Linked DNA regions of Struthio camelus. The protein of the gene in region 1 purifies or fractionates together with the protein of each later gene. This does not show direct contact. Links are inferred from orthologs where the notes say so. Each region holds a gene or a part of one and is shown on either strand. Other genes may lie near its edges. The genes, in order: TDRD3 and FMR1.

The links.
Region 2: the proteins of TDRD3 (region 1) and FMR1 purify together in Homo sapiens (affinity purification with mass spectrometry; 4 studies listed by BioGRID and IntAct, with this or other methods). This does not show direct contact. The link is inferred for Struthio camelus from reciprocal best matches to the Homo sapiens genes TDRD3 and FMR1.

What each region holds. Positions count from the first base shown.
Region 1 is NC_090942.1:185,216,080-185,232,389, reverse strand, and holds the start of TDRD3 (tudor domain-containing protein 3), read left to right. Parts: upstream 1-7,959; 5' UTR 7,960-8,097; coding exon 8,098-8,138; intron 8,139-16,310. UniProt on the Homo sapiens protein: Scaffolding protein that specifically recognizes and binds dimethylarginine-containing proteins. Plays a role in the regulation of translation of target mRNAs by binding Arg/Gly-rich motifs (GAR) in dimethylarginine-containing proteins.
Region 2 is NC_090952.1:14,540,817-14,557,244, reverse strand, and holds the start of FMR1 (fragile X messenger ribonucleoprotein 1), read left to right. Parts: upstream 1-7,413; 5' UTR 7,414-7,767; coding exon 7,768-7,818; intron 7,819-15,336; coding exon 15,337-15,389; intron 15,390-16,428.

The DNA.
Region 1 (16,310 bases):
ATTACGTGGGATTACATCCTGCTGTACTTAGTGATCCACCACAGCCACCATGCAGGTTCGTCCACGCTAATGTTCAGACCTGAAATGGCCCTATTTTGACAAACATATAGAACTGGCCATAGCATCATCATGCCGTTATATTTAAGGCCTTATCCTGACAACTGGATAATTGTCCTTTGAGAGCAATGATGCTGCTTCTGAGATTGACAAAATGCCAGTGTGGAATATACTTTCAAGATCACCATGGCCTGTCATGGATGTAAGGATTTGTGGGAGAAAGAGGGGAGCCTGGAACTAAATAGTTCCAAAACTGGACAGTCAAATGACAAAACCAGTGGCAGCCAGCTTGACTAACACTTTAGTCCTGTCCTTAGTGGACGTTCTCTCTCCTGGCAATGCCACCTGCAACTATGTAGTTTGTGGATTTATGTGTGGTATTATATCTAAGACTTCAGAATTAACACTTTCCTGATTGTCTTGAGAAGGAAGAGGCCTCTCACCGCCAGCAAACACCTCCCTGGTGCAAAATAGCTGTAGTATCCTGGACTCTTTGCTATTCATCTAAAACTTAGGGAAGTTCATGTTAGAAAAAGAACGAAGAGAAAGACAGTGCTGAGCACTTTCTCTCCCTTCAGATGAAACAGAGAAAACATTCACCAATAGCACTGCACATTTTGGTTGAAATGCATTAACAACACATACTAAAAAGATGATCCTTTTGACTGCAGCCTAATCAAATTAGGCACTGCCCATCAGTGAGAGACAGTCAGTTTTTACCAGGGCCATCTAGAATGCCTTTGAGATTAAATACACTCACAAGCACCTTTGAGCTATGGCCTAGGGCAGATTATTTAGAGAAAGAAAGTATAATATAGAAAGGCATATTTTCTCCTGGCTCATTAAAACAATTGAAAACAGCTCTGTAAACACGGCACACACCGACAAATTCAGTGAACAGAAGTGAAGGCCCTTTACCTTCACTACCCTGTTACTCTGGGCCACGGGTCTAGGGTAAGATTCTTGCATTCAGCATGAGAACGTGTTGTCTTCAAACAGTGTAATGAAGAAAGCCTAGAAGACAAAAATTCAATCTAAACTAGCATTAAATAATAATTTGAACTTGGTTGGTTAATAATTGGAATGTAGTAGAAAAAATAAGTTGTACTGTATAAATTATATGTGGAGTACAAGTAGAGTGTGGCAGAGGTAACAGGATAACACTGGTGACACTGTTGTGGGGGTTTACTACAGGCCACCTGGTCAGGAAGAGGAAGTTGATGAGGCCTTCTACAGACAGCTGGAAGTAGCCTCCCGATCACAGGCCCTGGTTCTCATGGGAGACTTCCACCACCCTGACATCTGCTGGGAAGAGAGCACAAACAGTCCAGGAGGTTCCTGCAGAGCACTGATGATAATTTCTTGACCCAGGTGGTGGAGACGCCAACAAGGAGAGGTGCGCTGCTAGACCTTGTACTAACAAACAGAGAAGGTCTAGTTGGAGATGTGAAGGTTGAGGGCAGCCTTGGCTGCAGTGACCGTGAGACGGTGGAGTTCAGGATCCTGTGAGGAGGGAGCAGGGCAATGAGTAGGATTGCAACGCTGGGCTTCAGGAGAGCTGACTTTGGCCTCTTCAGGGACCTACTTAGGGGAATCTCCTGGGATAGGGCCCTAGAAGGAAGAGGGGTCCAAGAAAGCTGATTCATATTCAAGCGTCACTTCCTCCAGGCTCAAGATCGGTGCGTCCCTCTGAGGAAGAAGTCCAGCAAAGCAAGCAGGAGACCTGCATGGATGAGCAAGGAACTCCTGGTCAAACTCCAGCAGAAGAAGGAAGTGTACAGAATGTGGAAAAGGGGACAGGCCACTTGGGAAGAATACAGGGACATTGTCAGAGCGTGCAGGGATGCGACAAGGAAGGCTAAGGCCCAGTTGGAATTAAATCTGGCAAGGGATGTCAAGGACAACAAGAAGGCCTTCTTCAAATACATCAGTAGCAAAAGGAAGCCGAGGGAAAATGTGGGCCCGCTGCTGAATGGGGCGGGTGCCCTGGTGACAAAGGATATAGAGAAGGCAGAGTCATTGAATGCCACCTTTGCTTCAGTCTTCACTGCTAAGGCCAGTCCTCAGGAATTCCAGACCTTGGAGACAAGAGAGGAAGTCTGGAGAAAGGAAGACTCTCCCTTGGTGGAGGAGGATCAGGTGAGAGATCTTTTGTCCAAACCTGACATCCACAAATCCATGGGCCCCGACGGGGTACATCCACGAGTGTTGAGGGAGCTGGCGGATGTCATCGCTAGGCCACTCTCCATCATCTTGGAAAGGTCCTGGAGATCAGGAGAAGTGCCTGAGGCCTGGAAGAAAGCCAGTGTCACCCCAGTCTTCAAAAAGGGCAAGAAGGAGGAGCCAGGAAACTCCAGGCCTGTCAGCCTCACCTCCATCCCGGGAAAGGTGATGGAGCAGCTCCTCCTGGAGGTCATCACTAAGCATCTGGAGGACAAGAAGGTGATCAGGAGTAGTCAGCATGGATTCCCCAAAGGGAAATCATGCTTGACCAATCTGATGAAATGACTGGCTGGGTAGATGAGGGCAGAGCAGTGGATGTTGTCTACCCGGACCTCAGCAAGGCTTTGGACACTGTCTCCCATCACATCCTCCTAGGTAAGCTCAGGAAGTGTGGGCTAGATGAGTGGGCAGTGAGGTGGATTGAGAACTGGCTGGATGGCAGAGCTCAGAGGGTTGTGGTCAGTAGTGCAGAGTCTAGGTGGAGGCCTGTAGCTAGCGGTGTCCCCCAGGGGTCAGTCCTGGGTCCAGTCTTGTTCAACGTATTCATTGATGACCTGGAGGAAGGGACAGAGGGCACCCTCAGGAAGTCTGCTGATGATTCAAAACTGAGAGCAGTGGCTGACATACCAGAAGACTGTGCTGCCATTCAGAGGGACCTGGACAGGCTGGGTGGATTCCTCTCCATGAAATCTCCATCTCCTCATGAAGTTCAACCAAGGCAAGTGCAGGGTCCTGCACCTGGGGAGGAATCACCCCATGCACCAGTACAGGCTGGGGGCTGACCTGCTGGAAAGCAGCTCTGCCGAGAAGGCCCCGGCAGTGCTGGTGGACACCAAGTTGAGCAGGAGGCAGCAATGTGGCCTTGTGGCCAAGAAGGCCAAGGGTATCGTGGGGTGCCTTGGGCAGAGTGTTGGCAGCAGGTGGAGGGAGGTGATGCTGCCCCTCTCCTCAGCCCTGCTGAGGCCTCACCTGGAGTCCTGTGTCCAATTCTGGGCTCCCCAGGACAGGAGAGACATGGCGCTACTGGGGAGAGTCCAGTGGAGGGCTACCAAGATGATTAGAGGGCTGGAGCATCTGTCCTATGAAGAAAGGCTGCAAGAGCTGGGCCTGTTCAGCCTGGAGAAGAGAAGACTGAGAGGCGATCTCATCAATGTGTACAATATCTGAAGGGGGCGTGTCAAGAGGATGAGGCCAGTCTCTTCTCCGTGGTGCCCAGCAACAGGACAAGAGGCAATGGGCATAAAATGCACCACAGGAAGTTCCATCTGAACCTGAGCAAAAAAGTTTTTCCTGTGAGGGTGAAAGAGCACTGGAGCAGGTTGCCCAGAGAGGTTGTGGAGTCTCCTTCCCTGGAGATATTCAAAACCCGTCTGGATGTGATCCTGAGAAATATGCTCTAGAGGTCCCTGCTTGAGGAGGGAGGTTGGACTAGATGATCTCCAGAGGTCCCTTCCAACCTCAACCATTCTGTGATTCTGTGAGGTGAGGGGTCCTTATTACTTACTTTGACGTTGTTGCATATTTGCAGTTAGAGTACCTAAGATGACATATTAAGCGACCTTTCCCTCCCTGTTTTTCTAAATAGCCATGTAATACCTCAAGCATATATATTATATGCAAAAGTGAAACCTAATAGAACCAAAATTTAAAGAGACAATTTTATTGTGTAAAAAGGTCTTATTAAAACATAAATAGCTTCATGCATAACATGTTGAAGATAATATAGTACTAGGCACATGTTATTTTTTTGAAGGAAAAGATCATTACAGTTATTTCTCCAGTTTTCTCTGAAAGCCGATACCCTTTGAAAAAGATGCTTCAGAGTAATTTGTTAAGTCTTATATCCTGTGTGTGGATGATTCAGAACATTGTTAGCATTTAGCATGTTTTTGTTTGAAACATGAAGAAACCTGTCTTCAGAGACAAATCATGGATAAATTAATATGTTGCAACAGAACTGTTCACACATTAATATAGCAGCAGAAACTGTCCTGTTGATAGGGCTTGAAGTGCATCCCCCTTCTCGGAGTCTGGTTGGTTAAGTGAAGGAGTTAACAGCTGAGTCCAAGGTCTGCTCCATCACTGATGAGCACTGCTATCAGGAAAGCTGGAAGCGAGAGCTGCCCCCCTTTCACTTGGGAGCCGCTTTCCAGTTGGGACTGCATGGCTGGCTCCCGCCTGAGCCACATTGTGGCTGTGCAGTGGGTCCGCCTACGCTCAGTATTGAACCCCTGCACGCCTGGTCCTGAACCGGACCCACCAGCTTGGCTCCTAGTTTGGCCTTGGGCTGGCCTTGTTGCTGCGGGCTTGTTGACGATTGCCGGTCTGTGCCTGACCCGACCACTGTCCCTGGCCCTGACCCTGATCTAGACTTGCTGCTCTGCACCCTTGTTCCTTGCTGGTGAGGTCCATGCTCATGCTTGCCTTGCAGTTGTCCTCTGCTCTCAGTGCCCCTTCCTTTGAGAAGCAGCCAGCCCTTGCTGCACCCTGGCACTTTTCTGCTTTGTTTTGAGAATAACTAACCAGAAGCATTCCTTAAAGTTTAACATAGCTGATTTACATATTGAGCATTTTTAAGTAGGACTGTCAATGAGTCATGCATGTGGGTGCATTTGTGCAAGCCATTACAATGGCCAAAAATTACTCTTTCCTCTGATATTGACCTCTTTCAGAGGTACAGTAAAAAGAGATTTTGTATCACACAAATTACCCTGAAGTTAAATGTGTAATTTTAACAGTTAGTTGTTCCTCACAGACCTTGTTTTTTAACCAAACACTTGTCAATAGCCAACATTTTGAAGTAGACACTTGGAAAGAGAAATAGGTGCTCCTCAACATCCGTGAAATATGTCAAACTAGATTATGGTTTGGACACAAAGAGTCTGTGCAAATTTTGTGGAGAGTGATGCAAACATTCATCTTGAATGACATGTATTTTTCAGAGAAAGCCATGTAGGCTAGAGACCTTTACAGGTGTGCTGGAGTCTAGCTTGATTCCCTGTGTGGTCCTAAGTACTCTGACATTCCTTAGTTTCAGCAGAAAATGTAATTTATTCTAAAGGTGGTGCATGCAGAGATCGGGTCTAAGAATGTTTTCTCATTAACTGTTGGTACAGAGGGTCTCTTTCCTCCAATTTGCAATTCTATGACTGTGTGGCAGGTGTTGTATCACCTTCTGTTTTACAGTGGACCTAATTATTTGTCTCATGTTGCAGCAGGGCTATCAGCAAGCTAGAAACAGAAGCTAAGACTGGGCAGTGCCCTCTGCTAACCAAGAGAATATGCAGTAATGGGGACTTCTCAAGTACAAAAGTGTGTATATATTTACACATAACATATGTGTATCTCAGCTTGTATACAATGAACTTGTCAGAAAAGAAGCCTACAGACCTTTAAAAAGGACAATATTTGTTACTACATTTTCTTTACAGATGGTATTTTGTGCCATGAGGTGCAATAGATAGCCATATGCTGGAGTAATTGTCAGTATAATTGCCTGGTGATTTTGATGAAGATTTAAGTGAGCAAAGGCTTCCATATCTTAAACTAACTTGAGGTAATGCATAAAGTGAGCAATTTGCGTTATCGTCTTCTCCTACGTAACTCTCCATTCTTTACTAATTGGCTCTACAGGCACTCCTTTTCCAGTTACAGTAATGTTTACAGTGTTTCCTCGATAATCTAATGTGCAGCCAGGTGATATTCTGAATGAGAAGTACTTTTATTTCTATTTCTTTCTCCTAACAAGTGACTGAATTGGCAGTACAGTTCCACCTATCTGCTGGTGCTTTCTGTGTCCGCAGCTGCTACTATGAGTCTGCAACAAAATCAAGGGAGTGCTTCAGCAACTACTATTTCAAAGTAACTCTTCTGTTTGACCTTGGGGCGTTCCTCTGCACTAATGTAAGAGTTTCTTCAGTATAGTGATATAGTAAGCATATATCTGGACTCTTATTTTAGGTCTCCTTGACATTACCGATATGGAAGCTCACACTCAACTAGAGTGTGTGATTATGTGACTGCACAACCTGTGAAAATCTGAATAATCACCTGGATGTTCAATCCATACGCTACAGGGCTGCCTGTGTTTGCTGAATTCCATGCAGATGGCTTTGGCGATTGCTTTCTTATGTCCTTGCATCGAAGGGTGCTGCAGTTTCCAAATTAATTATGTTCCCTCTACTCAACTCTATCCTATGACCAACATGGGGATTAAAACTCCACTCAGCGTGATATTGTTTTGAGATTTTGCTGGCTGAGATAGTATCTGACAGTCCTATATTTTAACTGCAAATTTATTATTTTAGGGTTAGAGTATATTCCTTTTGTTGAGACTCCAGAACAGAACTGTTTGAAGGGGTAAAATATATGTACAGTAAGAAGTTGCTCAGATCTGTCTGAACAATAGAGGCATTGTTTTCTTCTTCTATATGATTTTCTTCTTTTTTTAAAAATATAATTATTAAATGATTTGGAAAAGATGCCTAACTTTTAGAAAAACAGCAGCCTTTCAGGATACATTATTTGCTACTGATAAAACCTTTGTGTTAGAGTGTACAATCTGCACAACAGGAAAGAGAATACAACCCAGGAAGAATGAGCGGGACGCAGTAAAAAAGTGACTAGTGTTGACCAGCACAGCAGAGGTGACGGCTTACAATGCGTATAACTTCTGCCGTGGGTGACTTCTAGACAATACACTAAAGACGGGTTTTCAGGTAGATCGGAAGAGAAAAACAGCAAGCTTTGGCTTGAAGATGCTGCATGAAAATGAAAACATTCCAGGGATGAGAATGATCCCATGGAGAAAAACGCACCTTAACATAGATGAATGGAGCAGGTAGCTAGATTTTTGAAACTCAGAAAAGAAAATTAGTATTTGGCAGTGATTAGTTATAAAAGTTTCCGGATGCTGTTGACATGCTAATATTAAGTGTCTTTTGGAAAGTCACTGTCATGAGCACCTCAGTTATCCTGATTATCCTGAGCACCGGGACTAGGGCTGGGACTTTCTTAATTTGTGATGTACTGCCACTCAGCTCCGGTAAGGTCTTTGACCGCTGGCGCAGGTAGCAAAAGGGAAAGCAGCGCTCCCATCCCCTGCTATTGTTACTGGAAGGAACGGGATACTACAGCAGCTCCGTTCTTTTAAAACGTAATTCCCATTAAAAGGCAGTTCAGAAAACTAGATGTTTAAAAGAAGCACAGAAAGAAACTTAAAAAGGAAAGCACTTAAAAGAAACCACAGGAACATGCTCCCTTCCGAAAAGTCACGTCCGTCGCTCTAAAAGCCCAGTTCTCATCACCCTGAGGATATCGAGAAGACTTTTGGCTTTGCCTGTTTTTTTTTTTTTTTTTCCTGAGTGGCATTACCCCTATTTACTGATAGACGGAATAAGCTTAAAACAAAGGCTTCCCGCTCAAGAGGAGCCAGGCCGCAGGCAGGACCCGCGGCGCCAGTTCGGGCCCTGGCGCTTTCCCGTCTCCGTCATGGCGGCAGCGGCTTCATGGCGGGTGGGCGGGCGAGTCGCCGCGCAGGGGCGGGGAGCGGCGCTGGCGCCGGTCGCGGGCTTTGTTCGTCTCCGTGTGCGCCGCCGCCGCTGTCGTCTCCCTCCCTCCCTCCTTGTGTCCCTCGACCGCCCCGGCCGGAGAGCTGGCCGGGCCCCGCGCCCGCAGAGGCCGCGGGGCGGGGGAACGAGCGGCCCCCACAGCGCCCGCGCTTCCCCGCAGCTGCCGCCGCCACCGCCGGTGAGCCGGCCCCCCCTCCCCGCGGCCCGGCGGCGCTGAGCTTGGTGCGGAGCGGCGGCAGGAGGCGCCATGGCCGACGGGACGCGGGCCGCGCTCTCGGAGGCGGGCTGGTAAGTGGCGGCGCCGCGGCCCGACCCGACCCGGCCCGGCCCGGGCGCCCGGTTGCGCTAGGCCTCGGCGCGGCCTGCCGCCATGCCGGGGCGGCCCTACCAGCAGCGGTGTGGGATTTGGAGGGGGGAGGGAGTCTGGGTTTTTCCTTTTTTTCCTTTTCTTCATTTTTTAAATTTAGTTTTGTAAGCGCATGCTTGTTTTCAGGAAGCGCCGAGAAAGGGGCCGGGTGACATTATGCCCCTGCCCAGGCTTGTCTCTCGCGCGGCCTCCCAGGGCCCGGCGGTGCGGGCGCAGCTGGGCTGGTGGCGCCGGCTCTGGCGCTGAGCTGCAGCGCGCCGCCGCCAGCTGCCTTCCCCTGGGCTCCGCTTCAGAGGCGAGCAGGCCCGGAGCCTCTTGGCAGTGCTGTGGTTTTTTTTAATTGGGCCGTGCTGGCTGGGACCCTTTGGGTAAAGAAGATAAGTTGGAGCAAGTGGAGTCAGAGCCGGTTAAATGCGCACTTGAGGCTTGAATCCAAGTCCTCATCCCTTCTAGTCGAGGCTAATCGTTGGATACCTTATCTCTTTGGGAACAAAACGCTTAAGTTTGGGGTAGTTGTTTTCAAATATCTAGTGCAAACTGTCCATGTTATTTGCTAGCCTAGAGGTGTTTTGGCTTGTTGACCAGAACTGGACGATTTATTGATCGATATAATTCCCTTATTGATCAACACTTTGCTGCTTCTCCTCAACAGCTTGCCATTCTTTTCCCCCAAAACAAAAGCTCATTGCTAAGGACCAAGTCACAAAACAATTTATTTTGATTGTGTTGAGAAAACCTCTTAAGTTGTGAGAAGTATCATTATTTCCAATGGTGTTTGGGGATAGTTTTATTTCTGTGCTTTTAGTTTAATTTGGCGGTTTTACTGGATAGTGCTTTCATTTATGGCTTACATAAAAGATTAAAACAAGCATCATATTTTAGTTGTTGCTTTTATGGTCATACACTTGAAATGGCTTCTTTCAAATTTGGATTAAAACAAAGCATATGGAGGAACTTCTGTTAATATGCTAATCTGTTACCTTTCTGCTGTTACAATTTTACTTTAGCTAATTTTCACAGAATAGTTTTGTGATAATACTAATCGGATTGAAAACAAATAAGGTCTTTAGGTCTGTTTCTTGGATAACTGTATCATACATTTCAAAAATACTGTTGCTTTAATGGTATATAAAGTTCAGTGTAATCCAGTGATTACTGGCTGCGGGTGGATGGAAACAATCAGTTACTTACTTATGTTCATTTTCATAAGACTAGCTTATTCCATTTTCCATACTCCTTACTCTCCAAAAAGGAGAAGGCTTTCCGTAAAATAACTTACAAACTTATGCTTTTCATGTTTCCTTTTATATATTCAAAATTTTATAGCACAACTTTCAATTAGTAGATGTTGCTACTTTGCTGGTTTAATGAATGCCATTGTTAAACTGCTTTTAGGTAGTACGTATACGAGGCACATCTGAAATGGTCTATGTAATTCTGCACTGTTTGCCTTTCTCTTTTGGGGATGTATATTGTTAATGGCTATTAATCACTCATTATTCTTACAAAGTTGCAGGGTGTGAGCCAAAAACACAGTGACTGAAAGATGATCAGGCGAGTAGTGGGCTGATTACTAGATCTGTTGGAATTATGCCTTGACCTAGTTTCGTTGGGAAGGGTAGCAGAAAGGAAAGGGAAATGGGCACTTGCACTTCTGAGGAAAGTGAGGTGGAGTGGGAAAAAGAAATAATGCATCAGAAATATTCTTTAGACAAGTGTTCAGGTACTTTAGTAATCTAGACATGTATGCTTTTAACTGTTTTGCTTTTGCGGTTATGTTTGTGACTTTGCTGTCCTCTTAGTATTAGTAGCAGATCCTAAAGTCTATAATACATGTGGAAGTAAGCCTTCAGTTGTGTTACTTAATGTATGTTTCTGATCTATGCTTGCAGGTAAATCATGTTCAGTACCAATTTCTTTCCATTGTTGGTTTCTCCTCAATGTCAGATGGTATGTTTCTTAATGCAAAAACTGAAGCTGAGTTTATACATCATAGTCTATCCCCACAAAAACAACTGAAGCACCAGAGCAGAATAAGAAACTATTGTTTCATAGTTGCAAATCTGCTAGCTTGTGAGATGCTGTCACTTTTAATTCAATTACAGTAAGTCTTGTAGATAGAAGATACATATATTTTTTTCTTATAAAAGATAAGAAAAGTTACTATAGACACTCATTTATGTGGATTTTTGCAATTAGTTTTTATTGCATCTCTGAATATAAAGTTTTTTTTCCAGGTAAAGCAGTGACATAGTATAGTTAATGCAATATAATATACTTTTTTCAAACACCTGTTGTTAGTCATCTGTTATAAGTTTGTGTAGAAATTTGTATTGTTTGCTTTTTCAATTTGTTTCAGTATATTAGTTACATTTTTAAGAACTTACCAGAGTTCCCTACATAGTAAATTTAACAGTGACAGCTAATTCTGAGAACCTAGGTTTTTTTTTTTTTTTGGGGGGGGGGAGGTATTTCATGAAAACAGGTAGAAGACCCCTGTAGTTTGTGAACAGAACTGTAGTTTTCCTGAAGAGGAGGAGATGTCCTTGCAGACTTTTTAAGACAGCTGTCTTAAAAAGTCTTAAAAAGCACACATTTTTTGAGGCTAGTTCTTTTCGTACACTGTACCTTAGATGTTGTATATCCAAATGTGATATTGGCTGCACTTTTAGAAATTAAATGGAGTGTGTTTGTATTACTTTGTAGTGAAAAAATATTCTGTCTTGGAATGGAAGTGTATTAACTCTCTCTTTTTTAATTAGCAAACATTTATGGGGATAACAAACATTTATGGGGATATCCAGCCCAGCCTGGATAACAAATGCTCCCTAGATACAGGGATAACCCAGTGATTCACAGGAGAGGTGCATCTCTGTTTTGAGATTTATGACACTCCTGCAATGACCTACCAATATGGTTTATGGCATTTAGTTGGTACTGTAAAATCACTAAGTTACAGTAGAAAACCAAGGGCTGCGTAGTTGCGTTCTTTTATCAAGGTGTATCCCACGCTGTCTGGCGTGATTGATTTGCATTCTTGCTGGATCAGGAGTGATGGATTGTTAGAACAGTGTTTCTTTGTTGTGTGCGTGTGTGTACATATATATCCGTGTATATTTACCATTTTCTCTCTGGAGGAGCTGAGAAGGTCCAATATTGTCCCTTCTGTTTAGGGAAATAAGTTTGAGAAACTAATACAGATTTTTTTTTTTGTTTGTTTTAAAGAAGTTACTAAGTAGCAAATTAGTGGAATCAGATGGAATCTTCCCAGGATTTCAAAGAAACTAGGATATGAATGTACTTAATAGTTAAAAAGTTACAGAGAAGGATAACTGAAATAATTAAGGAGACGGAAGGGGCTGATGAGGGAGCTATGATAGAGTAGCTCTCTTCTGGGAGACTGACATGTTTGGAACTCCTTGAACTGCAGGAGAGAAAGCCAAAGGTGGAAGATTTAGTGAGGTTTGTTTAATCGGGGAGCGGTAGGTTAGAGGACTATAAAACTATTATTCACCAAATCCTGCAACATTGTTGCTCACTGAATTCTGCCACGCTAGAACCAGGAAGCACTTACTAAGCTAGTAGCATACTAGTTTCAAAGTGTGAAACAAAATATTTCTACACAATGATGGTAAAGGTGCAGCATTTGTTGCCACATAGGTTTTGGAGGCAAATTTTATCAGCAGGCTAAGAAGGAATTGCGCTATTTTATATACAGGAAGCCTATAAACAGATTTTTAAAGGGAATAGAAAGTGATGTGTCCTCTAATAAACCTAATCTGCTGGTTGTGAGGTTCTTGCGTGAGTGCGAGAGGAGCAGACTGCAGGAAGTGACTGGGCTCTTAAGCTGTTCCAAAAGAGTCTCTCTGCTGTCGGAGGCAGAACACTGGGCTAGATGAACCATTAGCCTGTCTCAGTAGAGCTTTTCTTGCATTCTTGCTAACAGTATTTTAATCTATTAATTTAAGCTATTATTGGTAAGAGAGAAATGGAAGATAGCTAATATGATACTGTTTTAATTTTGTATTATCTGTAAAAGTAAAGGTCAGTAAGTCAGACAGTTCAGGTAAAATTGATAACTACTTTAAGGGTATTATCAGTCCCTTGAATAAATGTAATGGAGGAGATGGCAAACTTCCATGACTTGTGCAGAGGGAAATCAGCCATCAGAATTGTTTGAAGGGGCCAGTGACCACGTAGCTAAGATTTGATTATTATAGTACTCTTGCATTTTCGAAAAATATTTGACCAAGGACCTTGATCAAAGTTTCTTAAAGAAGCTTTATTGAGGAGGATGGAAGGTTATCCTGTGTATACTTGGTTAAAAGATGAGAAAGAAAATAAGTGGTTGCTTCATGATGGAAAAAAGTTACCAGTGGATTTCTGCTGGGTTCTAAGGCTTTTTCATATTGAATGAATTTCTTAAGGAATGACAGTATTGTGGCACCATAGCAGTTTACTGATATGTTCAGGTTAGTAAAATGTAAACTGACTTTATAATTGAAGAAGAATCTTATCATACCATTGCCTACTGGTTTCAGATGGCAAGCATAGTTCAGTTTTGATGAATGCCAGTGAGGCACATGGAGGGAAAATAATGCAAACCAGTATAAACAATGATGAACTCTAAATATAATGCTACTCAAAAAAGGACAGTGATCACAGAGCTGTTAGGAATTATTCAGAAAGACATAATAGCCTAACAAATTATTTTGTTCTTTATGTGTATCAATAGCGTGTTAAAATCTTGGAACAGTGTGCACTAGTGGAATCGTCCCAATACAGCAAGGGTTTCATAGACAGTGTAAAAGAAGAGAGACATTGGATCGGAGGTGTGGACATCTTTACTGGGGAGGATGAAAGTCGTTAGTTTGGAAAACAGAAGTATAAGGGGAGGGGTAAAAGAGGTCTATAAAACCATAGATCATGTAGAAATGATGAAAAGAAAGCAAGGATAGCTGTTTTTCTTAGTACAAGAATTAGGCCAGCCAGTGAATTGAATTAAACACGCTACCTGATGAAAACTTAAGTAGCTGTTCCAGCGACGTGTAATTAAATTGTGGAACTCAATTGCCACATAATATTATGGAGCAGAAAAATATAAATGGGTTAAAATAGTAATTAGACAAAATCGGGTAGGGATAGATGCACTGAATACTGAACTTTGTGGTGGAATGCAGCTGCTAGCTCTAAAATTGCTAGAAGCTAGGACTCATTCCAAGCATTTCTCTCTATATTTGCCCATATCTTGCATTCTTTGCCCATGTCACCTGCTTCTACCCAACTCTTGGAGGAAGGTCCAAGATCAGATAAACACATCCACCCTTTCTGTTCTTATTTTTGTTATAGGTCTTTATCTTCACACTATAGTTTTACTGAGGGAAGAATTTTCTCCTCTTGATTGGAATGGGGGAGGAGCGGGAGTGGGAACTTGGAGAGAAAGGAACGGGACTTTTAAGTAATGGGACAAAGAGAAAAGAAGAAGCAAGTGTGACAGACCCCTATGGACTCGGTCTTGAGTGTAGTTTCAGTTGCCTTACTACATCTCAGCCTCTGGGTTTTTATTAGTTGCTGGAAAGGCCTCTCCTTCTCTTGCCTTGTTATGCCAGCTCTCGGATCAGTTTATGAATCTTTCTTGGGGACACAACCTTTACCTCCTGGTTTCTCTGAGTAATGTGCTAGGAAGCTGAAAGACGGGTTTAAGGTTTCCTTTGTTCATAGAACTGTTCTGACTTTGAATGAAGAAGGTTGCTACTGTGAACTCTTTACTCAGGAAATGAATACAAAATATGTAGTCTACTTAAAACAGTTTTAAAGCTGAAAGTTGAGAGTTCTTTAAATCATTGCAGACCTTCTCTTAACATCCACCTTTGCTTTTCATCATATGGTGTGTCTCAGGTTGATTCTCTTTGATAAATGCATTCTACAGCAACACATAAACTTTCTGTTGCTAGTTTGCTTTTTGAAGTTACTTAGTTTCCTTTCAAAAGTTATTTACTTAGCCTTGTAACTCATAGGCTTTGCCTTCTTTTTGAGATGCAAATGGTTTATTAAGGCAGGTGTTATTTACTATATTTAACTCAATGAGGTAGTACTTTCCTTCATTCTGCCTCTTTATCCACATGCTCTTTGACCTTATATTAAAGAGTGTACGTTATCTCTGAGTTGAAGATACCTTCTGAATTTTGTAATATTTTATGTTGATTTGTCTATTGATAAACTAATTGATATCATCATCTAAATGAGGTGAATGGATGGAGCTTGTTACACAATTGTAATTGACCACTTTGGGCAAATTTACCTCTTCCCTCCTATGATGTTGTAAAGGTAAAATTAAAATATGTGATCTTGGTACAGATTTGAGAGAAAGACTTGGGCAGAATGGAATGGCAGCATGCTTGACTTTTTTTTTTTTTTTTTTTTTTTAAACCAGTAAAGCCAGATGAACTTCCAATGGAAGAGTGAGTTAAAAGCAGCAATGTGTTTAAGAAGTCTGCTTTTTCCTAGGTGTTAGTATCTTATGATGTGAACAAAAGTAAAAGCAGAGGTCGTTTAAACTTAATGTTCCTGGAGATTTAAATTATTAATCAGACAATGCATACCTTATAGAAAGTGGAAATCTGAGGATTCTGGACTAGATATTTGATATAGGTGAAGGAGGTATCAGGAGAGAGCTCTTTGCAGAGATTGTGCACTCTGAAACCATTCTGTGAAACTCTCAAGACAGGCTTTGGCTCTGCTTGGACACTATTTGCTTCAGAATCCTCAGTCCTGAGCAACAGGTTGAGGGGAGGATACCTGGAGGATTTGCAGTGGGGTGCTCTTATATATACCAATAACAAACAGATGTTCAGCTTTTTTTTTTTTTTTAATATGTGCATATTTTACTTAAATACCACTTTACATGTTAATGTAAATGATACATATGGGAGCATGTAGTGATACAAAGACATCTTGAAGCTTAATTTAATAGATAGAATTACTACTAGAAATCTTAGATTTGAAAATAACCTATGTGTTAGTTAATTATTTAATGGCTTACTTGTTCTGTGATGCTCATAATAGTAAAATTGAGACAGATTTAAAGACTGATTCTCCAAGCTCACCATGCTCCTCATGTTTTAAAGAGTAGGATGTCTCCTGTGTGTGATTTTGGGGGAGGGGGTGAGTAAAAGAAGTATATTTAATGCCATTAAAGATAATTCTGGTACAGCTCACAGAATGAAGAAAAGGCTGTATGGCGGATGAATAGTATGAGAGTGTTTCTAATCACATTTTTCATAGTTAATGCGTATTCATGAGGTATCAGACTTAAGGAAGAGTGAACAGCTCTGAAAGTGACATCTAACCTTTGAGTTAGCCACTTTGCACTCTTAAGAAAAAAAAAGTTACTAGCTTAAATAATTTCTGTAATTCTGGTAGTAATTGAAGCATGATAAGAACTTAGAATGGCATCCTTTTGGACCCTTTACTTTAAGAAATGTAGCACAGTTGTTAGAAACGGGAGTAATGATATTAACTGACAGCAGGAGAAGACTTGTTTAGACTTAGAAAATGGACTACTGAAATTGCTTATTTGACAGAGAACACTGTAGGGCAAGCGTGGTTAAGACTGACTTTTTCTTTCCCATTGTTTGTCTCACATAGTGCTCCAGGAATGACTGTGAGCTTCTTGTGTTGTCATGTCTGAATAAAAGCCATTGAGGGAAGCCAGAAGACGAAAAAGGCACGTGTGCTCAGACAGTTCCAAGTTATTCTTAGTGCAGTGGCAGCTGTTTCCCTGGCTTGGGCTCAGGCTTAGAATTCAGTTTAAGATTGGTTGCCAACGTTTTCCTGAGGAAATGTGAGTGAGAAATGGTACTGACAGCTTATATCTCACCAACAATTTAATGAATTTCATTAGATGAAGAAAGAAAACCCTCTTTTATCGTCGTGACTTTTGTATGTCAAATTGCTGTGTGTGGGAATATCAGATCTTCTCAAAGAGCAAAGCCTGCAAGACTGTTTGCTCAGTGCTTTCTGACTGCTGGAGCTGTTACTAGCTGCGTTATAGCCGTGTCACTTGCTGAAAGTTTGGAGTTAGCAAGATTGTC
Region 2 (16,428 bases), on another chromosome or scaffold:
ACACAAAATAATCACAATGAAATCCATGAGAATACTTTTTTTATTTCAATTCTTATACAAAGAAACATTCTGCCATGTTAGGAAAAGTAAAATCGGCAAACCCCACTAACTTTCAATCACAGTGAAATCAATTGCAACGATTCTAAAAACCTGCAAGAACAGATATGAGTGTAATGAAGAAGTTCCCATATATTCATTCTCCAAAACAAAATCATACTGCAGGACATAATAATTCTAATTAGCTGTAATATTTATTTCAGTGTAAAATGAAAGTGTAACAGTTTATTGTAATAGTGGTGTTCTAAATAAATGTCCCCCTTTTTTCTTTACTAAAACCATCTGAAAAATTAGCATCTTGTAACAAGAATAAGAACTCTAAGTCGTTTGTTGAGAAATTAGGTACTCCAGCATTTCAATTTTTTTGAAAGGGGTAAATGGCATGGTCAGAAATTGGTTACTGCAATTACTTTTTCTTTGATTGCTTTACTTATCTGGGATGGTTTGGGGTCAAGGAGTAAGAACAGTTTACATGAATTTTAATCTAGGGTTAATGGGTACTAGAAAAATATGCTTGCATTCTGTATTATAGAATTAAATGCGAAATACACAGGTAATCCCTATTTATTGTATGAATAACTTCATGTACAAGATTGCATAGAAATTTAGACCATATAAGCTCATGAGTTCCATCTTTGGAACTGTTGTTAATGAATACTGCCCCTTAGTATGTATACAGGAGCTGGCCAAAAACTTCAAAAAGACTTGTAATGTGGAATTTGTCTAACTAAATGTACATGCCTAGCATGTAGGCCTCTTCCTCTGAGTAGTTAGCTAAGATTCCCTTTACAGACACTGAAATTCATGTTACTCCCAAGATGGTGAAATAAATCTCTGCCATTTTGGCTCCAGAACCTTTGGATAGGATTCTTAATTCTATGAACCAAAGTTATTCTTGGTGAGTTAACTTTTAATGCATCAATCCTCTCTTTTCTGAATGGCAACATTAATGCCTAATTCATGGGGATCAGAGATTAATTAAGGTTTGTAGTGTTTCTAGAGACATAAAGAATTACGTAAGTGCTGCACGTTCTTACTATAGTTCAGTTTGCTGAAACGAGGACTAGTATACAGATTAGCATACACTATCCACACACAGCTATCCATCATACATGTTGCAGAGAAGCATCCGTATGTTTACAGTTATGAATGCTGTCCCACACCATGAAAAGAGAAGAACATTTATCTTGAATTACATTATAAGCAGCTATACTCCATGTTTACTAGTAATTTTTACTGTATTCATCCATTCAGTTGCAAGACCTGTATAATGCAGGGAATCCGTTCACTTTCATTCAAATACTGTTTGATTAATGATTAATAAAAAAAAAAGCTGAAGAATTTACATCTGCAGTTTTACATACGAATGCGAGTGTTGCCTATGAACATGGACTGTGTATAGCCCTGATATACTTCTGCAGAAGACATAACATGTGGGCTTAATGCACTAATAAATGTATTTGTAGGGTTACAAGAGGAATAGATAGAGACTCATGAACGGGAGATGAAACCAAATCATTAAACAGCAAAACTCTGTATGCATGCTTCCATACTCACCATTAATTTTAAAAAAGAAAAAAGAAAATGTTACTGACAGTTGTGAACCAACAACAGGATATACAGAAATTGTTCTAGAAGAATACAGAAACTACTATAAATTTTAAATAAAACCCATTATTCTAACAGAAAACATAATATGAAGCAAATAAGGAGATCACCCACTTAGACAATTATTTCACAGCTGAACTGAATAGCATGACAGTTGTTTTTTGGATGACAACTGAGCTAGAACTTGATCGTTTATATGCAGCCTTTTCAAAATATGTATTGTAGAAGATCATATTTTCATAAATTACTGAATTTAATAACCTTCTGAAGCTTACATTCTAGTATTTACTTCTTCGACTCGTCTTCCTGAAACTGGGAAGCTTTTGAACTGCAGGTGCAAAGTAGGCTTAAATCCCTCAGGTGTCCTTACGTATTCAGGTCAGGAAGATATAGTATACTCTAGAAACTGAAAACCACTACTGGAAAGATATATCTAAACTATAGTAGAATCTGCGGCAAAATGAGCCTTGGATGCATATCTATTCCTAATTTACTACACGAATAACTATAATTAAATTTGTATAAGGAAGGGGTGGAACAATGACTGATAAAGAAAGAAGGAAACGTGAGGAAGGATTTTTCATTCTATTTGTTAATTTTCACAACATTTGTCTTTTTTAATGATTATGCTTTTACTACTTTTCCACATGAACACTACCTTTTATAGAATTTTGTCAGGATTTCCACATAAAGTTCACATTGCATGTGTAAAGAACTGAATGAACTCAGCATAATCTGATTCCTTGTATACATATGGTAACACAAATCTTGTCTGTTTTAGTTCAGCTTCTTTTTACAAATTCTGGGACTACCTGCTGTTCTACACCCTCATTTGGACATGTGTCATTTCTGGGTGTTAGTTCAGTTAAGGATAGGCTAATAAAACTGCAATACTTTGGTAACACTCAACCTTCAGCTATTATTGATTAATCATAAAGCAACCATGTCTAAGAAGTTTTGCATCTTTATATCTCCATTGATTATAACGGCTTCTTCCAATTGCTCACCTATTGACTGTAACATTACAGGTACAGGCACTTTACAGAGACTACACTTTAAACCAACAACCTTTGAAACATCTAGTTACAGCTGCAGACTGAGAGGACAACAGACTGAACCATTTGGTCTCACTGAAATAACTCACAACCCTATGTATCTCAAACATACACAAATTATTTTTTCCCAGTGTCCTATATGGTTTCAGAAATAAGAAACATATATTGCGACGGTCTGGCTTACATGGAAATACAGGAATGAATTTCAGGCGAAGTCTGAGTGTCACCCGTATCACATTCTGTAAGGGGAAAGGACTCATCCTGGAGAGATTACTGTCTGAAGCGATGCACAAGGAAAATCAGCAGAAAAGAATTTAAAAGGCTGAGTTAAAAGCTCTATGAACCTCAGAAGGACTGAGCTGCAGCTCAAAATGAGTGTGTAAATAAGGAGAACGGCATAAAATGCCCTTAAGAGACTTTGGTAGTTACCAGATGACCATTCTAAAAATAATGTTTCATGAGTTAAGTCTTATTTGGAATCCTTCACCAAGCCTTAAGATAAATAGCACTGGCTGGAGAAAATACTCAAGTCATTCCTGTCGTTCTTACCCCTTGATCTATATGAAGGGTTTTTCACATATCTAGAGCAAACCCTTGATGCTCGATTGTTGGTGTTGTTCTGAAGGGCCAGTGTCGATGACTAGATTTTAAATGCTTAACTCTTCAATGTATCTAAGTAAAGTCAGCATTTCATGGTAAAGATAAATAGACAAAGAACTGGTTCACTTAAGGTAAATCCTAGGGAAACAGTAGTAGCTAAACCTGCACCGATGAGTAAGGACATGAATGACAATCACTGTTAACTATACGACTGTGATATGCTCTGAGAAGTGCCATTTACCTTAGTTTTCTGCACTTCAACTTTCCTAAAGGAGGAAAGATTTTTCTTACATTTCCTACAAATATTTAAGAAAGCCCTCATGTGGAGGCAGTAGTGAATAAAAGTCTAAGATTTTCTTGAATTTTTCTGATGTTGAAAACAGGTATTCCAAATGCAGTGCGCCTGAAATACTTTCCAGCTAGTAGATCAACCTGCAAACACGAAGTAGTATATATCTGAATAGGAAATAAAAGCACTGAGCATCTGTAAGACCAAAGCCAAGACCAGAAACAGGTGAATTGAGACTATTGGGAACTATGAGAGAATTCTGGAAATTAAAAATGCATTTTAGTTAAATTATAATTCCAAGGCCACGGTGTAGTGTAAATGAATACCACTGTTACATAGAATAAATAAAGTCTAACATTTGAATGAAATAACATTTTACTGTTCAGACGAAAAGACTTTTACAGAATTACTGAGATCTATTTTTACAATGTTACTGGTTTTGAAATAGCCATATTTAAAAGGATCTAGTTTACATTAAGTCTACATAAAAACTTATTAAATTTGTGAACATCACATGTCAGAAGGGGTATTGTTTGGAGGCAGTTCAAAGTAACACAGTAAAAACAGTAATTTGGAAAATAAGAGGAAAGGTTAAGAGTCAATCAGCAGAAAAAAATAAAGAGATCTCTGAAAATCTGCCAATCTGTTTCATCAAGTAGGCAAGGATTAAAACATTCACTAGTCAGAATAAAGTGAAAAATGTTGAATTTAAGAAACAGCAAGGAAAATTTAAGCCAAGCATTAGGGGAGATTATACAGCACAGCAGTTCTTAGCTTAGGGAAAGTAGTGAAATCATCACTGGAAGTCAGAGCTAAATCAGACACCCTTCTATTCTATCTGCTTAGAAATAATCTGCCCGCATGACAGCAACCTAATTTATTAACAAGAGAATAATTACAACCAGTAATGAATGCCAAAAATCTTCAGACAGCTTTGTTTTAGAGTTAGGCATCAACTCTCTCGGCTGATTGCTGGGTTATTTTGACCTGAACCATTTATATGGTTCCAGTGACATCTCCTTTTCTGATGCTTTAGACGGCTTCTACTTTTCCTATATGTGAAGAACATGAGAAACAAGTATAATCAATATAACATTGTCAATGAATCTACAGGAAGACCTAGGAAAAAAGTGAGGTAGGTGTGTTTTTTCCTATAATCACAGTAAGCTGTGCTGCGAAACTTGAAGAAAGTAACTCTAATAGCATTATAGTTGTCACTCGTAACAAAAATGGGAATACTTTGGGCAATAATGTTTAGACACCAAAGTAATCAATTAAAACTGAACTACTACAAAGGTATGAGAAATTAAGGCAACAGTCAACAGTACCAATTTGATTTAAGTGGAGTTTTGGGAGAAGAACAATCTTCAGCTTTGCAATTATAATTAATATGAGTTTTTACAAATCCAGTTTAACCTAAGACTAAACAAAACTATGAGGTGGTTATTTAATATAAATATTTCTTTAATCCTTTACTTGATTGTTGGCGGAGGGGAGGCGGTAAGGCACCGCCTTAAGAGGAACACCTTAAGAGGAACAAAGTTACCTCTTTTGTTATCTGACTTACTTCAAGGTCCTTACAGTAATTCTTAAGTGAAATCTTCCTTTGTTGCTGTCAGTTTTTCCCATACAGATCATTGGAGATGAGAATCACCATTCTTTCAATTCCTGCTGTGATCTGATTTGTTGTTCAGCTTAGAAGAGTTATCATCCTTCAAAACAACCTTATTAAAACAAAGTACTCTTTGTCAACAAAAGTACTCCTAACATGAACAAGTCAGACAGAAGAGGTGCGTCTCACCTAAATTTCTTCATGATGGGGACTCCATAAGATCTGATCTCTCAGATGCTTTAATTTATACACAACTCTTGTGTCATTGCTCCCTCTTTTTTCACTTCTCTTTCAGTTCTCCTGGACGCTCTGCCAACGGCAAGCAAGTCAGTCCTGGGACAGCCTCTTTAATGAGCACAGCAGGCTGTCAAGCTAAGTCATTAGATTGAATTGATCCTTCATTGTCCTCAAGAATTTGCTGAAAAGAGTATGCAAATCTGCTGAAAAGAGAATCAAACTCCTTTTCAAGATACACTGCCTAGCAATCACACTATTGAATTTCGACTTCAATACTATATATGCATACAACAAACATCACAATAAGCAGGTGAACACAGAGTATGCAAGAATTAGGCAATTTAAATCCCTCACAGGGGAAAAAATGAAAAGTTATTACAATTTGCAAGAAATATTGTATACCCTTTTTAGCATAAGTGTAAGAGTACAGAACAGCTTGCCATGCAGCACACAGAGAAACACAGATTTGGCAAGGTTTGAAACTAAAAATCAAGAGGAGGTATGAAATCATAGGTTTACTGATTCAAGAGTTTTGAAAAATCATCAGGAGGTACAGGATTTTACCCCATTACTTACATAACACGAGCATCACACATTTTTTCAGAGAAATTACAGCTCGGATAATATATTGCAGTTGTGATTTTTGGTGGAGTGGGTAACAGCAGAACCATTTTTGTTTATTATTTGTAACTCATACAAAAAATACATCAGAAGAATTGTTAATGTTTGTGCAGGTCTAATGAAAAACGAACAAACAGCCTTACTTCCAATGCACTTCCAACTGTGAATACTGCATCACAGTTACGGTGGTTCTTTTAAGTTTGTTCAACGATCAAGTTCTACAGTGAATATGCAAACTGTTACATTTTGCTAACTGCCAGAAGATCTAAAAAGCGATTAAAGGTCCGTGGGAAGCGACCACTTCAACATGCAAAAATGCAGTAAGTCTTTACATAGAAATAAATTAATAGCATATATGATATAGCAGACTTGTTTTTTTGCAAACTGAGAGTTTGTTGAACAAAGCTTAACTCTCCCAGGGTGAAGTAGAGTGAATAGCACAGAAACTTTCCAAGCCTACTGGTCTCTTTACAGTACACCTCTATGAGGCATGTAGGTCTTCAGCATACCCCCAAGTCAGACCATTGGGAAGCACAGTATTTGTATTACAACACATGTCACAAAGGTTCAGATTTTAGTCCTCAGTGTGTAATCAAGAGTGTAGTACCAGGAGTATTACAACAGAGGCTACTTGTAAGGGGAGCAGAGGTGACCCACAGGCCAGTTTACAGCCTCGCCTACCTCTGCCTGCCTTGGCGGCCATCTCCCGCAGAGCACCCATGGGACTCGAGCCCTGGCCCCACAGGCTCTCTCCTCCCCTTCACCCATCCCCGGCTGCCCCCACACCCTCAGCTCCACCACCCTCACTCCCCCCCTGCAGGCCCCACAACGGCATCGCTCCCAAGAGCCCCTATGCAGCCCCCCTTCCTCCACTCAGGAGGCCCCATCGCCCCCCAGGCCTAGCCGCGCTCCTCCTCCCGCCTCTCTCCTCACAGCACTCCCCCCCAGCCGCCGGGAGCCGCTTTGAACCAACGGTTCTGCCCCAGCTTCCCCCCCCCCCCCCAGTCATAAGGGCCTCGCAAAACGGGCCGCGCGCTCCCACCCGCTTCTGATTGGCTGGGACGCGATGTCCAGGGCGCAGTATCATTGGCCGACGGGGCCGTCAGTCAGGCGCGCCAGGGCAAGGGGGAGGCGGGATGTGACTCGCAACTGCCGGGTTAGGTTGCCCCCTCGCCGTTGCGGCTGCGCGCGGGAGGGGCGCGGCGGGGCGCGGGACGGGTCGGGTCGGGTCGGGTCGGGTCGAGCCGGCGCGCGCGCGGCCTGGCCGTTAGGCGGTCCGCGAGCGGGGCGCGCGGGCTGCAGCCAGTTGCCCGCCCCGCCCGGGCCCGTCACGTGACGCAGGGTTACTGTTTACATTCGGAGCGGGCGCCCCCAGGCTCCCCCCCCCGCCCCCCGCGCCGCCCGGCGGTGACCGTTTCGCTTTCATTTCCGGGCGGGCGCGGGCGCGGAGCGGAGGCGAGGAGCGTCCCCGCGGCGTCCCCCCCAGCCGCTCGCCGGCAGCCTCGCCCTCCGCCCCTCGCGCGGCCCCACCCCCCTCGGGCACGGCGTGAACTGAGGTTCCCCCTCCCCTCCCCCTCCCCGGCACACATCCACCTCCTCCTCTTCCCCCTCCTGCGCCGAGAGCGAGAGAAAGGGAAGGGAGGAGGCGCCGGGCCTGGGTCTCCCGCACCGAGCCGCCGCGGCACAACATGGAGGAGCTGGTGGTGGAGGTGCGGGGCTCCAACGGGGCCTTCTACAAGGTACCGGGCGCTCGCGGCCGGGTCGGGCTGGGCCTCAGGGGAGGGAGTGGGGCCTGGGACAGGAGGAGGCGGCGGCGGTGGCGGCTCCTCCCCGCTCTGAGGGAAAGCGGGGGCCCTGGGGCAGGAAGAAGAGGAGGAGGAAGAGTGGGGTAGGGGTGGAGGCCTCGGCGAGTCCCTCTGCGCGTCCGATGAGAGGGAGCCGGGCCTGTGGGTAGGGGGAGCGGGGAGCTGCGCGGCCCACAGGCTGGGGGAGCGCGAGGCCTGATGAGGAGAGGAGGGAGGGAAGGCGAGAGAGGCCCCCGGCGCTGAGGAGGCCTTGGGCCTTCCCCCTATTGTGGGAAGGGGAGGCCGTCGCGCTGCCGGTGTGTTGGAGGCGGCGAGGAGGGCCCTGGGCCTTCCTTTCCTTGGCGCTGAAGCGAGGATCAGAGCTGGAGATGGGGCATTAATTGTTAAATCCTCAGCTTTCGTCGCTACTTAAGGAAAGTCTCCTTCGCTCTCCGGGTTTCCAGGAGAGCTGCCCTGCTAGGGGAGAGCGTTTAAGTCGGGGGAGGGAGGGCAGGAGGGCAGCTTGTTAAATACACCTTCATGATGAAATGCTGTTGCGAATTGTTGCTTTTAATGCCACGTCTGGGGATACTGCCTACTGACATTAAAGAAAGCATTGCTTGACCAAGAATACATGTGCTGAGTTTCTAAATACATTTAATTATGAAATGTACTTCTTACTGAAACTACCTAATAGTGTTCCATGTTTGTTTCCAAGCCCTTGTGCTAGTGCTGAATAAAGCCATCACTGAGCCTTGAACACATCTGAGTATTTAATATCTTTATTAATGCTGTGAAGTATTGCTGTTGCTTTGCATGAGTTGAGGTTTATTAATCAGCATATGAATAGGGTATACTTTGGTTTTACTCTATTTACAGAAAAATACAATTTGAACATAGTGGGTTAGGGCCTACTATCATTGAAGGCAGTGGGGTTCTACACCTATCATCAGAACATTAAACAAACAAAAACAAGTCATGGATCCCTTTGTGCAAGTTTGCTATTGTTTAAATGTTCCCAGTACTTTAAAAAAAAATGGGCCTAGTTATTGTGCAACATCCAATATTTATGTTATCAATGAAGGAGCAGGTAGAATTTCAGTCTGATGTTAGTGTGGTAGGGCAGGTTGGTACCCAAATAAAACAGTTCTGACAGCCTTGAGTGCTTTTGAAATAAAAGAGGTCTTAAAAGTTTACTTTAAAATATATATGTGATAATATCTTTTTATCTTGCTTTCAAAATAAGAGAAGTGTGCACGAAACAAGTTTATAAGTATGATAAATAAAGCATCTTGTGGGTTTGCAGTGTTGTAGGCAAAATTTGTATATAGCTTCCTGCAATTAAATTATTTAACACTTTTAAAAATCAATTTTAAGTTTTTAAGTATATGGTATTTGCTCTGAAAGGAAAAGAAGGTATAAATGTGTTGCTAAGGAAATAATTTTAATGAGACTTTTATCAAATTAATGCCAGTATTTACACACACCATGCAAAATAGATGATGATGAAAATGATATTATACATTCTCTAGTGTTATTAAAGACACCTGGGAGAACTGAAAGCTGCTGTAGGGTGTGTAGAGGGTGGTTGGTGTGTGTGTTGGGGGGGTTGTTTTTTTTTTTTTTTTTTTATCACATTCAATTTTGATGATATGGTGTCCTGTTCCCCATCATCCATACCATAGCCCCTTTCTGGTTGTGGTTTAGATGACAATTTCAGATGAGCGTATATAGTAATGGGAGATTATTTACTAAACATGATTTAGTGCATCCAAGTTATAACACAAAAATTGCTTCCAGGCTGCATGTTATGCTTGCCTTTTAACTTACAGAAATTCAAACATAGGTGGGTGTTTTTGGTCTTTTTTTAATTTTTAAGGTAATAAATTTAACCAAGGAGACTTGGTTAAATTAACCAAAGGGACACACAGACTTACTGGTATTCAGCTGCACTACCTCTCTAGATGGAGCATCACACTTTTTTTAAAAAAAAAAAAAAAACAACCAATGCTTCTGCATTTATGTTTTAAACAAAAAAAGAAAAAAAAAAGTCATAGAATAATGTTTAATAAAAATCAGTATTTTTCATCTTACCTGAATTACTTGATTTTGTTTTTATTTAAAATTTTTCTCTTTGTCATAGTGTCTGAGTGTCAGTCTGTTATGAAGTAATTAATCTACATATCGTCTTGTGAGTTTTATTCCCATCTTGCAGACGGAAGATTTGATTTGTAGAATGAATTGGTTGTCCCAGTGAACTATGTTACGGTGTCAAGTACAGGTTTTAATTGCAAGATGATTTTATTTTTTCATTTAAAAGTTTCTTTAAGCAGGTTCCTCAGAATTGCTTTACAACTATAACACTACAAACAAATCAGAAACGAAAAATTTTTTACCCCATGTCATGGTTTACTGATAGAAACTTTTTTGGCTTTGAGTCATTCTGGAGTTTTTCATTAGAACGTGTAAATGTATTTTAAAAACACCTATATACTGATTCAAAGACATGGAGAGGAGGACTATGACGCTAGATTCATGAAGGTTCTAAGTGAATAGGCAACTAATTGCCACTTTAAGTTTTCATACCTCTTCTGTAGCTGTCTTTGAGGACCTCTATAAGTTCAGGTCCCTAAGCAGTTTCATTTTTGAATGTACCCAGCAGCACCTTAATCCTGAAAGTTCAGAAGCGATGCCTAATTGTCCCATAAGCCCTACTGAGAGTCATAAAGCAGGCATTTCTCCGTGGGCCTTGATCCAGAAAGCCTTCTGAAGACACAGCCAAAGAGGTCTCGTTCCACAAAAAACATAGAAGATAATTTTGATATCTCATTAGTTTGAATATGCATTCAGGATGAGGGAGATTTGAGAATTCATATTTCATGCTGGTCAGGTGCACTATGTTTCAAAGAATTCCAGAGTGTGTTGCTTTGATCACTGTAGTGCAGACTAGTTCTTAATGGAATTAGAGTACCACTTGATGAATGCTTTTTATTTTCATGAATTTTTTCTCTTTGCTTATTATGAATTATTCCATGGAAAGTGTAGCGCAGTCAATGAGCATGATTCAGAGCAACCCTGAGGTAATCAATAATCCAGTGCCTACAGATGCTTTGTCATGACTTGATAATGTTTTTGCCTGGCCCAGGATCCTTTGAAATAAAAGATTAAATCCCATGTTTTTTTTTTTCCTTTTAGAAAAAACAGTCCAACAAGCGGTCAGAACCGTGAATCCTAAGGGGAGGGATCTGTCTTTTGGGATGTCTCAGGAAACTAAATCTTGAATATCTGAGCTATTAGGGCATACCTGTCCACGTTTTCTGTTAGTCAGTATAGGTTTAGTAAATTCTTATCTCATTCTCAGAAGCCTAATAGACAGTTCTCTGTCTAATTTTTCCAGGACTAGGTTTAGACATTTCCCTGTGAAAGGTGGACATGGTGGATGCCTTTCATGTTTGAGAGTGATTATCTCACCTATCATTTGCTAAAGAGAGAAAGCATCCTGTTTGAGTCACATACTTTTGCAATAAATTTTAATTCAACATCTGTATATTGTCTGTAATCAAATATTGCCACTTTTTGCTCTACAACCTTGTTAAACTCTTCCACATCCTTTTTTTCCTCCAATCTGAGCAGTTTCAGTATTTTGCCATTGTTTCTTTTTAGAAACCTCACTTTCTTCCATTTAAGTTATAATTGACAAAATCATTCATCTTTCTTAGTTCTTTATTACTTAATGTCTCACTAGTAACAGCTGTTCCCTTGTCCTCCTGTTGCATTCCATATCAGTCACTGCTATTATTATTTTTTTAAAAAGGTTTCTCAAGTTATTTTTTTCTTCTTCCTTGTTAAATCTTTTTTATGCTTTTCACATATCTGTTCATGATAGCCAGTGTTCTGTGCTTTCTTGGGCATACTCTTCAAACCCACATCTATGCATCTTTATGTTTCAGTTTTCACACCTTGCTTGTACACTTTATTTCCCCCCAAACTGATAAATTCTTACAAATACCATTCCCTTAGTACTTTGTGCAAAATCACTACTCTTTCTCTACCTTTACTAACATCTGGAACTGGACAAGCTATGTTTCAGTGAATTGGGCTTACAGCGTTAAAGGTCTGTCAGCTTTTTAGCATTGTTTTGTACACTTGCACATGTGTGACAGAATATCAGGAAATAATTGTGATTAATTTTGGCTATCTGCATGCGTTCAAAAGTATTAAAAAAATTTTTTACAAGTACACAGAGAACTGAATATATTTGGACTATAAAGCACTGGCTACTACAGATTTGTTGAAATACTTTCAGTTGAGGGAAACTGACATGACACCACAATACAGACTGTAAAAACTGATATGATTAAGGTATATCGTCCCTTTTTTTTTCACGATAATATAGACTAGGAAAACTAATAGAATCTTTTTTTTCCCTGTGTCACAAGAGAGCAGAATGAAAAAAAAAAAATTACTTTCTATGGATAGCTGTGACTAGTCAACCAAGTATTTAAATTATTAATATATTTGTTTGGTAATTTGTTTTGTAAGCATAAATCTCATGGCGGAGGTAGGCAGAACTGCTGTATATATTGACTAAATGTAAACTAAGGAAATGGTGTCAGTTTGATTATTTTCAGCCATCTGTGTTGATGTTACCTGTGTACGGTCAACAGTTATCTTTAGTGTTTCTGCTTCAGGTTTCTTCAGGTCAGAGAAAAGAATTGCCCATAGTTCAATATTCTTCCAATTAGCTATGTGTCCAAATTTTACTTTTTCCAGATGACATAAGCACTAGACTGTTTAAAGTCCTCAGGATAGTCTTCAGCTTGATAACTTACGTTGGTTTGTGATATCATCTGGTTTGTTTGTTAATGGAAGGTGTTAGCATTAATACTGCTCTCTACTTATATTGCTGTAGGCACTAGGACTCTGCTCAAAATACCTTTAATGAAAGTGCTATGATTATAGGCAAAACATTTTTTTTTTAGGGAGGTTACAATCCTATCTTAAGAGTTGTCAGATCTGGATATAAGATACAGTATCACTCTTTGCTGCTCCCTAATCTCTTTCTGTTATTTCTCATAATTTTTAAGGAGTGCTACTTATTGTCTTTTGTCTTGTTCATCACCATACAGGAGCTTCTTCTCCAAGTATCTTTCGTAGTAGAAGTGGTGATTGTTGTTGTATTATGAATCTGCGAAAATTAAATAATGGAAATCAGCAGGTTTTTGAGGACATTGTTTTGTGTTACTTCTACCTGTTTTCCTTAAGGCTAGTTAGTGCTCTTTATGTCATCTCTGTTGGATTTGCTTCATAAAATAACCTCAGCTTTTGCCTACCTAAGTGTTACTAATAATACTAAATTCTGTCCTTTTCCATTCTGTGGTGTGAAGGAGTCATGCCAAATACTCTTGATAGTGATTACAGTATTTTTCAGGTTTTAAAGGCATCCATTTCTGCTCCATCTATAAGAATAGGTGCTTCAGAGCTGCACATGACAAACATTGGAAGAAATGTGGGAAGAACCTTTGAAGGTGATGTGTGTAATGTTGCAAAATGAGTCAGGGCTACCACAGTGTCTGTCAAATGCATATCCTGTTCTGGAATTTTCTTGCAGAAGAAACAGCAGTATAAAACATTAGATCCATGTTCAGTATCCAGAATGATTGTCTGGGAGTTCTATTGCCTTTTTATATCAATAGGCCTTTTAAAAAATAAATAGGATCATGTAGATATCAGTACAGAAATGCTGAGATGTGGTTTTAGATCTGTTTTGTATCATGTCATGAAAAATATCACCTATGCTTGTAATTTGCTTGGAAGGAATATCTTGGAATTTCAAAATATGTAACTATGTGCTATTAGAGAATGTTTTAAATATATTAATGGTCTGTAAAGGAACTTCTTTATGATGATGATAAACTTTTCAGTAACTTTTTACTTATTCTTACAGTATTGTGAGAGATGAGCAAACTGTAACATATTTTGATATTGTAGTTGTGACTTTACTGTGACTTCTCTTCAAGGTAGCGTTAGTTATTTTCAGATTATTAACTTGCATTGAACTTCTTTCTAGTACTGAATGTCTCTGAGTAATGATACATGTGCGCATGTGCGGTTTAATTTTAGTAGAATCAATTCTTTGTGCTCTGTATTGGTCATCAGGTACTGCTCTTGTTTTAGATATTGCTGTAATTCAGAAAATACTTGGGAATACTTCCTAAAGGAAAAATATATGAAGAATTTGGTTTTTTACCATTTAGACTTGCATAACAGAAATTCTTAAGTTCTTGTACATCTTCTGGGAATCTTGAAATGGGAGTAGAATTAAATGTTCCACAGTTCACTAACTTTTCTTCAAAAGTATTAGCAAAATTATTTTCAATTTATTGAGAAGTTTTTTTTCTTCTACCAAGAGTTATCTCCATTGGTAGGACAAATTTTTATAGTCTTATCTTGTTCATGGGCTTTTAACTACCTATACCTTGCAAGGATATGCTGTATATTTACGGATTAATGTTAGTGGAATATAGGTACTGCATATCAATAAATATTTTTTCAGCACTTTTCCAATGTTTGTATCTGTTTCAGTAGTTTGGAAAGCTGTTTAAAAAAAAAAAATCATCCCTGATTGCTCCATGACCTCTTGTCATCTGAGGCTATGAGAAAATATTTTCTTTAGTAAATCCTAAAGTCATTTAAATGGAGTATTAGTCTCGCTGTTTTGTATGTGGAGAAGTTAAGGTATGAAGCTGAAGGTTGATCGAAGGTTGTTTAACTGAGTAGCATAAAAAAAGTAGGGGAAAAGCCTTCCCATGACTGTTAAATCTTAGAGCTATGCTGTGCTTCATGTTTGCATGTAAAACCTAGCACAACACCTGTCCATCCTCTTGAAGAAAACCAAAGAAAGGCTGCAGTGCATTTCACTTACGGTCATGCACGAAGGAAGTTAAGTGTGATGAAGGAAATGGGGGAAGGTTGTGCTGAAATTAATGTAGATGAATTTTGCTGATTTGATGCTCAACTTACATTGAGATAGAAAAGAGGCATGATGTTTCTTTTTAAAAAGAAAAAATAAATCCTGAGATGGTTTAATTTCTATACCATAGTTGTGTCAAAATACTAGAAACATGGTATATATTCCACCGTTTTAAACTGTAATTGTAGAACTGTTAGAATAATCTTGTCAATTGTTACTTGTCCTTTTTGTCCTACTTGTTACTTCTGAAAAACAGAAAGAATGAATGTATGGCTGCAGTGTTCTGTATGTGTGTCAGTATGCTGGCAGTCATGTATCCAAGGAGGTTATCAGTTTTCTCTTGTATGCGCTTTTATATAAGACTGTTGCAAAATTTAAAAGGCTGACTTGAAACCATACTTAAATTTTGTTTCATCACATCTATGAAAGGACTTGTATGAGTTTAAAATTGTTCTTAAAAATATCCACAGATAGACCGTAACTATTTTTTTCTTACATAGGCATTCGTAAAGGATGTACATGAAGATTCTATAACAGTTTCGTTTGAAAACAAGTAAGTATATTGCTGATGTGATTGCTAAAAATGGTACTACTTTCCAACCTTGCATTTGGTTAACCTAAATATGACGTAATAGTGATGGAGAACAGTGTCTCTTAGATACTCCAGTCTTGCTGCTGGCCTTATTGTAGAATTATGTTTAAGATATGCGCTGTGTTGTGACACTCTGTATAAATATTTCTAATTGTTTAAATTTTTTGAAATACAAAACTATAGCAATATAGGGTTTACTGGGGAGATAAGGATGTTGCTATTGATCACGTAAGTTGTTTGCACAAGTCAACAGTTTAAATGTACCATTAAAAGACCTGTCTCTTGTGACTATCTTATCTTTAGATTTACCAAATTACATTATCACTAAATTTGTTATATAGTGAAGTATAAGTATGAGAGTTCTAAGCTAGAAATGAACTGATGTTGCTTTCCCATTGCTTAGCAGCATAAAAAGTTAACCTTCCATTATACTGTGTTTAGTTCAGGTTTTGTTTCCTTCAGAAAGGAAACAACACGCTACTATGTATTTTTTCCTATGTATCTATGTGGTTGTAGTATCATCTGTTGTATTTTGGAAATTGTTTGCTTCTTTCTATAAAAATTATCTTATCTGATTTCTGTTAAACTGAGCAATCACACTGAGTTCAGATTGAATCCTGATCAAGTATTCATTATATACTTAGAACTAAAGAAAAAGAATCAGGTTTGTTTTGAAGAAACTGTCAAAATATTATACAACTTTTTTTTTTTTTAAAGTGACATTTACAATGTTACAGATAAAATCTGTAGTTATGAATAGAGTAAACTCTGGTGCTGGAGGACTTTAAGACAGTGCAAGTGGCATCGAGGATGTATTTAAGACGCTTAATGATCACTTGTTAAATATTAAGTATACATGACATTGCATTAGTTTACTATTTAATACATATGCACAAAAGCTCCACATAATTTAAAAATGTAAAATTAGTTGGTTGAAAGCACTCCTACTTTTTTTTTTTTTTTTAAGAAAGTGAAAATGTTTAGGCTATTCAGTGTATTT